Linked DNA regions of Danio rerio. The protein of the gene in region 2 binds, or shares a complex with, the protein of the main gene of each other region. Links are inferred from orthologs where the notes say so. Each region holds a gene or a part of one and is shown on either strand. Other genes may lie near its edges.

What was found.
Region 1: xab2 (region 2) and ppie share a complex: the UniProt entries of both Homo sapiens proteins name them as parts of the XAB2 complex. The link is inferred for Danio rerio from reciprocal best matches to the Homo sapiens genes XAB2 and PPIE.

What each region holds. Positions count from the first base shown.
Region 1 is NC_133192.1:26,693,086-26,697,409, forward strand, and holds the start of ppie (peptidyl-prolyl cis-trans isomerase E), read right to left. Parts: upstream 2,912-4,324; 5' UTR 2,896-2,911; coding exon 2,865-2,895; intron 2,648-2,864; coding exon 2,549-2,647; intron 2,451-2,548; coding exon 2,407-2,450; intron 2,205-2,406; coding exon 2,178-2,204; intron 2,070-2,177; coding exon 1,988-2,069; intron 1,398-1,987; coding exon 1,294-1,397; intron 570-1,293; coding exon 446-569; intron 1-445. UniProt on the Homo sapiens protein: Involved in pre-mRNA splicing as component of the spliceosome. Combines RNA-binding and PPIase activities.
Region 2 is NC_133178.1:55,853,895-55,858,402, reverse strand, and holds the start of xab2 (pre-mRNA-splicing factor SYF1), read right to left. Parts: upstream 2,855-4,508; 5' UTR 2,751-2,854; coding exon 2,715-2,750; intron 776-2,714; coding exon 627-775; intron 544-626; coding exon 420-543; intron 1-419. UniProt on the Homo sapiens protein: Involved in pre-mRNA splicing as component of the spliceosome. Involved in transcription-coupled repair (TCR), transcription and pre-mRNA splicing.

The DNA.
Region 1 (4,324 bases), on a different chromosome or scaffold from region 2:
TGATGGGATAGAAGTAGGACCGAGTTTAAAAGGATAATGCTGTTATTTTCCTCCCTCTTTGGTCATCACAGATGACAACTAAAATGGTGGTCCTTAATGATTCATAAAATGTCAGTTAAAAAAATATCATGTGTGTATATATATATATATATATATATATATATATATATATATATATATATATATATATATATATATTATTTTTATATTTCTATTATACAGGCAAAGTAGATGTCATTATGTTGATTTGTAAGTGCTGTTGCTGCTCTCAAGGCATTGCATTTATAAATAGATTTGCATTATATGAATCACCATGGACAACTTTCTAGCATTTTTACTTTAGCTAGAATAGGTTCACCATGAATATATACATATAAAAAATTTGGTGAATTTTTATTCCATGCTGACTTTAAGCACACGCAGGAGATGGTTAAATATGTCTGACCTGCAGTCATAGGCACAACATCAGCTCGCAGAAGGAAGCGCAGTCGGCCTGCAGGTTTGTTGCCAATCTTGATATCCATATAGACTTGAGGATTGGTTCTGCCTTTTTTTGCTGGAGGTTCTCCCTGTTCAGGAACATAAAATGCCAATCAGAGAGTATTTACAGGCATCAGAGGGCAATTCAACACCTTTTAAGACCTTTTTAAGACTCTTTCAATACATTTTAAGGCCTTGAAACCACTTTAGGTTTCAACTGGAAACACTGGCGAGATTTTAACTTATAGAATATTTACTGAATATTAATGTAAGAAACTAATCTAAAACTAAAACACTATTCATATACTGAATAAAAATTAATTTTATCTAATACAGCAGATTGACGCCAATAGAATTGCAGAAATAATGGTGTTGTCTTGGTTACTGCAGTAAACAAAATTGCATGATGTCAAATCTAGTAGGATTTCATAAACTACACAGCATCCTGATATTTGCAGATTTAATTCAGGCAAACTTTGGCATACAACCATACATTGCATAATCAACAATAATATAAAATATATTATTATTAAAAAATGTAATACCTTGCAAAACAGCAATTAAGAATATTTAATAACTTTTAAGGGCCTTAAATTTCTCTACATTAATTTACCAACTTTTAATACTTTAAGACCCCGCAGACAACCTTAATCATAGAGTAATAATGATAAAACTAATTTAAAATGGAGCATTAGACTTTGAAAAAAATACATATATAAACAGTAAAATCAAAATGACAATGTTAAGTTATTACTATTATTTTATTTACCATCCAAAAAATAAATAAATAAACCAATACTGTAACTTTCGGACCTCTTGTGTCTCTGTACTTGCTGATTCTGCAGCTGACTCGGCCTCTTCACTCTCCTCTGCTTTCTTCCCCGAGAACTTCTTCAGCCAGTCATCGTCAGACCACACTATAGGCAGAACAGCATAATTTACTTTATGCAAGTGTATTAATTTAGAGTGGCAATCCCAGAATAAAGGTGTTAGGGGCCATTCACTTTTGACATCTTTTGCACGTGCAAGTTTGTTATTCTCTGTTCAACCGAAACAACGATGGTGAAAGCACACAAGATGATGTTATCTTAGCATTTCATCTTAGCATATCACTCAAGTTGTTGCATGTTTTCCAGTCATTTTTAGGATTGATTTGTTATTTAGAATAATAACTGTATAATAATAGTAATAACACATACTGCTACGAGTAAAGACAAAAACACTAAAGAGCCTGCTTTTTATAATTCAAACTTATATGTAATTTAACTGAAAATTTGAAAGCAAACTACATTTTAATGAGCTATATCATTGTAACAGATGTTTTCTGATGTTTTTGTTTACAGCATCAATACCTTTTAGCTTAGTTTTGTTTATATATATTCTTATGAACTCAGCTTTAGGTATGGGTGTAAACAGCATATATTTATAAAGTACAAATCAGAAGTTGGCAGTGAGTATGTGTCAAGACATTAAACAGAAAAATCAACCACAATCAATTTTCCATCACCTGGGCGAGAGGAGCCCTCTTTAATTCTCATGGGTTTGGCGATGTTCACCCTGATGGTTCTGCCAAACAGCTCAGACTCGTTCTGAAAAACACATTACCAAATGCATAAAAACCTCCACTCTGCACATCCTGATAGTGTTGAACTTTATAAATCCACAGAATTCAGTAAATTCAAATTCGATGAACTCACCATGTTATCAATAGCAGCTGCTGAATCCTAGAGGGGAAAAGACAGAACTTTAATTAAGTGACAAATTGATACCAAAGCTTCTAATGCAGAGAAACAACAGTACAGTGTATAAAGTAGCAACACTGTTTGAATAAGTGAATCATAAAAAGCATCAAAGTTAATGTCACTTTGATGATGCACATTTCGCGTTATTTTAACTTAATTCAGTGTAGATGTATATGATATTCACCTCTGCCAGCTCGAACTCGATAAAAGCAAAGCCTCTGTGTTTCTCTGTTGGTAAAGACAGGATGTTAAAGTGGTAGTAAAAATCGGTCGTACGTTCACATGGTAAAGTTGTAAAGTAAATGTAACTTCTGTGTATTTGTCACCTGTCTCATAATCTAACGGGATCTGAATATCTGTAATGTCACCGAAAGGAATAAACGCAGCGTGCAGCACTTTCTCATCCACCTCCTCTGCAAGACCACCTAGAAAATAATAATAACGTTTCACTTAGTGCGATATGTCACTTTAAACGGACTGAGCGCTCAACTCTTGCTCATATTTCATGAATTGCTGCTTTCCCGGATACAACTAAAAACGTGTACTGCGTCGATAAAAATGTACGAGGCTAGAGGATTAAACTAGCCAACTGAACGAGCAAAACGTTTGTTAGTTAAATTAATAAATTTTATGTTTTCTTACCAACATAAAGAACACGTTTGCTGGCCGCCATCTTGCGTGTAACCTTTGACTTCAGGCTGTGTTCTTCACCACTGAGGTTTGGTATGTCGCCCTCTGGTGAACTGGAGTAAAATCTGATTGACATTTTGACACTCTGGATTCATTATGTACTTCGGGGGCGCCACAGTGGAGAAAAAAGGTCGCTGGTTTGAGCCTTAGCTGGGTCAGTTTGGAGTTTGAATGTTCTCCCTGTATTTGTGCTGCCCACACTTCTAACAACCGTCTTTTAAACAGACTAATGAATGCAAATAGGTTGAATGTGATGTACATATCAGTTATGTATATTTGTGCATAGTTGTAATTAAAATATACATTTTTAAATTGTGCTTTCTGCTTGTACTAATGCAACACGTACATTTCTATCACAAATAAAAAAAGAGTTTAATTATTTAATCACTATTGTGAATTGGCATGAAAAGCAGTCCAATATTTAACGCAAAGGTACTGCATTTTTGTGAATCAGTTAATTAAATAGTACTATCATGATTTATAAAGTTTCTATTGTGATATTACTAAAGTTGCCATTGAAAGAAAATCTGGATATACATATGCATAATTGAATAGGCCTAATAATAAGTTTAATGCATGGAAATAACATACTGTGTGAGCCTCAAACACCTCATTCTCATGTAAATCCAGGGTAAAAAAAAAAAAAAAAAACAGAAAAATAAGCAAATCAGAGAATAACACTGACAGTTACCTCAGGAATATTTGATCGCTACAGACCCTGATAGAAACTTCTGTTTAGAATTCTGAAATGCGTGGCACTGAGCAGTTTCTGGTGTGCGACCTGCTTTAGATAGTATCTATTTACAGCTTGTCTAAACATAAAATTCAGGAAAAATAGAATATGTTTAATCTGCTGTTGAACTGTATCTTTTGTTGGTTTAGTGTAAATTATATTCACTTTGCTGTTTATGTTTGTAATGAGGCAACAGACACATGTAAACTATTGAATTAGCATTTAATGCCCATTTATGCCTAACTCGGGAGCAGTAATGGACAGATAGATCATCACTTGCTCCTAATGCGGACCTCTTCTTCTCAACTTGTAATTTGACAAGCTCTCTACTAAATTTGTTTAAATATTGTTTTTGACGACTTAATGATTATTTTGCACATTTGTATTTCAGAGTACATCACACTGTGTGAGCATCAGAGACATAAGCGTCATATTCACAAAATAAGGTAAAAACAGCTTTTCATTCATTAATTTTCTCTTCAGCTTCGCCCCATTATTAATTAGGGGTCGCCACAGGTGAATGAACCCCCAACTTATCCAGCATATGTTTTACGCAGTGGATGCCCTTCCAGCTGCAACCCAGTGCTGGAAAACACTCATTCACACTTATACACTACAGTCAATTTAGTTTATTCAATTCACCTATAGCGCATTTCTTTGGCCGGTTAGAAATTTAGTA
Region 2 (4,508 bases):
AAAAATATTATAGGAAATACTGTTAAACTTCCTTGCTCTGTTAAACATCATTTGAGAAATATTTATTAAAAAAAAAAAAAAACATATTCCCAGGAGCGCTAATAATTTTGACTTCAACAGTAATCGTTTTAAATAATCGTGATCACAATTATGACCAAAATAATCGTAATTATGATTTTTCCGAAAATCGAGCAGCCCTACTTTTCACCTACTTTTTTTTAATACTATGAATTTGGACATATTACTCGGCTCACATACTGTTTTTAGCGAACTATATAGTAGGTAAGTAAGCGATTTCAGCCACAGATCTAGTCTTATGCCATAAAACATGTGCATCACTCTTTATTCAAAAATATGTAAATATAGCACATTTTACAACTAACAGAAACCCTGTGTAAGAATTAAGAGATCAACTTTACCTTATGCATAAACACAAGCGCTCTCTCGTGACAGTTGTTCACCTCCTCGTATCCAGGATCCGTGATGCACTTTCCTTTCACCTGTTTTCTCCTCTCTCTCAGGTAGTTGTACCACAATTTGTAACTGCAAGAAACCATGTAGATATTTAGGATTTAAAGCACACAGGTTTCAGTGTAAAAGGAAATGACATGATGACATGTACGCACCTGCCAGGCAACTCCTTTAAAGCTCTTTCATAGATCATGTTGAGCACAGATTTCTGTGCACTTTGCTTGTGCTCAATGTAACGCATCCAGCACTTGACTGAATATGGATTCCTGATGATTTCTTCCTCATAAGGCAAATCATCATCTTCCTGCAAAACAAACATGCCTCTGTGATTAAGATTCACGAACACTGATGAAAGCTAGCTCCAACGTTAGATTATTGAGTTAGTGAGTAACATTTATAGAGGTAAAGTTGTTTTTTAATAGCACATTCGTACAGTGAAAGTGACATGCTCCCTTACCCTGCTACTTTAAATATTAGGTCTGAGATCACCTGCAAGTAAGACTTGAAAACAACATTAGAGCTATTTCTTTCACTGTGAACAGTGTTGTAATTTGACAGTCATGGGTTGCTAATATGATTTTGCTTTATAATCTGCACATTATACTTTTTAAAGTTATATTATTTATATTTTATTACAGCTTTTCTCAGTGGCTTTGGTGCATTTCTCACAACACTATTTACATTTGCACAACAAGTAATGCATTTCTCAAAACAATTAGTCATTTGTGCACATCCTAGTAGCAGTTTCTCATTCCCTCCAACAAATTGCAAATGCTTTTGAACATGCATCAATTGCTTTCATACAATGCTCTGCTGTTTATAACATTATTATTTGTTTATGTCAGTCAAAATTAACTAAACTTGTGAATTCTGAATAGTCATTCCATATTAAACTAATAGTCCTCATTTCATCACTTGAGTCATTACATACACAAATGTTGAACTAGCTGTCAAAATCTGTCGAGCAAATTTTGTAAAAAATGTAAAATCTTTTTTTTTCCTGAAAATGTCTTATAAATTGAACAATTTCATGACTGATTTACAGACCTGTGTATGTTGCAGGTAAATATGTTGTGCAATATTGTTTACAGTTGTGCACAGCTCTATCCAAAGGAAGTTTATGTTTGTTGTAAATAAGGGTGTATTTATTCTTTTGCACAATGCTTTGAATAAATTAGAATGGCAAAGAGCAAATGCAGTAAAAATGTGAAACATACATATTCAGTGTCTTGTACTCAGATAGCTCACTAAATGCAGTGTTGTCTAACTTTACTGGTTTTCAAATGGCTGTGCAAATAGTATATACTGCTGTCTTGAGCATTTACAGAAAGTGTCACCAAATTCTGCCTATTTAGCATTGAAAAAAATTAATAATTCATAATGAAAACAAGACAAAGCCATTTGACTATATTGTTCATAAACAATGGTGTCAAGACTTCTCATTTTGATGATACTGACACTTTCATTGACGTGAATACTTGCTTTTGAGGAATGAACTATCCATTTTGAGCAAGTGACACGCTTTTGCAGGTTATCTTAGGTTTTGCAGTTTGTACTAATTGTTTTGAGATGTGTATTAACTGGTGTTCAAATGTAAATAGTGTTGTGAGAAATGCACCAAAGCTACTGAGGAAAAACTGTAAGGAGAAAGTCAGAATGTGCGAATATAGACAATTTTGAGTGACGTAAACGATAACAGTTGGTTCTAATTTTCATAGCTTTCAAGAAGGTTTACATATTAATAAATAATGTTATGATAGCTGTTTTAACATTAAGTTATGATTGAATTGCCTCCTGTTACAGCTATGAAATAGTTTGACAACAGGAAATGTTCATGGGCCAATGATGTCGCCTCATTGAAAACAAAAACTTTACCTCAATGTAACATTTAGGTGAAAGAAACAGAAATATTTAGTACAGGTTTTTAAAATGTTAATTTTAAATGTTATTTTCTGACACTTAGTAACTGACTAAACAATGATAATAACTTAAAATTAAAGTAAACCTATGCTAACTACTGTTATTCACTTTAAATAAATTATTATTATATGTGAGAGGTGAATTAATGCACAGGACACAACAATTCATTTTGACAGGTAATAATCATATGTGGAATTTATTAGTATTATTAAAAATACTTGTGTGTATCTTATTCAGCTGTAGTTAGCGAGCTAATCACAGCTAGCTACGAAAAGATTGAGAACACTAACAAAACTGACTTTAAAAATAGCTCAGATACATACGAATAAAACGTCCGCCTTTCCGCTTAGCGATGGCATTTTCCCTTGCCTGAATATATCCTCGTTATAAAACTAGAAACTTGTGTTATTGTCAAAAAATACAAACACTTTCCCAACGTGTGGGGATCGTAGAGCACAATAGCCCCGCCTTTTCTGAGTGTACTCGATTCCTATTGGCTGACTTCTCCCATTGCACTACGGTGGCTCAGGAGGCTTTTCTGTTAAAGAGGTGTTTCTCGGTCTGAAGGCGTTTTAATGGAAGAAACCCTGAATAAACGATTTTGGGAGGCAAGAATCGTTTGTTAATCTAAAGAATTAGTCCACTGAGATAGTTTTTGTTGAAGCATCTTTTATGAAAGCAGTTGTGAAATATAAGTACTCGTAATTGTATTGAATGTAAAATCGTGCATACATCAAATACTAAAGGGGTAGTTCACCTAAAAATCCAAAGTAACTCACTTGCGTCCTTAGAAGTTCAGACTTGGAAGAACGAACACCCGAGGACGCAAGTCGGGTACTTCTTCAAATATAACAGCAGTGTACTCTATAACATCACTTACCTAACCATGGATTCATCGGTTTCACTGTACATCAAAAATAAAATGACTAAATTACATGAAGCACGGCCCAGTAATTAATAATATATTAATATTATAAATCTACATTTTTGATTTAAGAAAATGTAAACATACATTATATAAATGTGAAGTAAAATGTGGTTTTATACTTAGACACGTGTCTTTGATTATCATATTTAATGGACATTATACAAGTATAAAGTACAAGACGTACACAATAAGAAATAAATATAACGCTAAGCAATTTGGTAAACAAAGACAAACAGTGTACAACACAGTAACGATTAAAGGGTCATGACTCCTTTCGGTTCAGGTCTGCCTCAGAATTTTTCCAAAAATGCATCATAATGGGCGTGGAGCTCCGCGATCAGAGGCAGGAATGGGCGTGGCCAGCAGAGCAGGGGAGAAAGAGGGGAGCGAACAACTGTTGTCAGTTGGCTCACAAAATGAGACACAAACCTTGAGAAGACTAATGATTTTATAGTTTACAAAGTTAAAATGCAAACAAATAAACAGTAATTTAATACCCTGCTACATTTGTCATTTGTAATTTAAAATACACAACCACAATTTATATTATTGTAAAGATAATCGTGTTATATAAACACTTTGAGGTGAGGACTTTTCCATAAATCCCCAGGTCTGAATGCAGACTCAGTGCAGCAGGTCTCTTGCCCTGCCTATTTCAATCATTAGCCCTGCTGGTAATCTGGATGGATTTAGGCAAAAACAGTAGCACGGCGATGTGTCTAAATGTGAACAAACTTCTGATAAAAGACGACATCCGCCATTCTCCAGTTCTCGTACTGCTCTCCTGACAAAAATGCTTACTGCACACAAACAACTTTGCTGTATCGGCCCTGACAGCATCACGGGGAAAAACATGCAACAAACCCCATGGATCATCGAAACAAACACATACGGCCCTTCATGAACAGCTAAATACTGTGTGCCGTGGGTCAGTGGAAGCTGTTTAACCCAGTCATCAAGGTAGGATCTCACAGCTTGGCACTGGCAGATCTGTCTTGCCTTCGGAAAGCATGTGCAGTCATGAATAATTAAGAAGCAGGCTCTTGTCATTGGATAAAAAAACTTCAGTATAAATAATAATGAGAAACCGACGGATCATCACTCCACTTGCAGTTTTGGGCTACATCGCCGATTTTGATCCTGCGCTAAAAATCATTTTAAACCCGGAAGCTGAAATTAGCTGACAAAA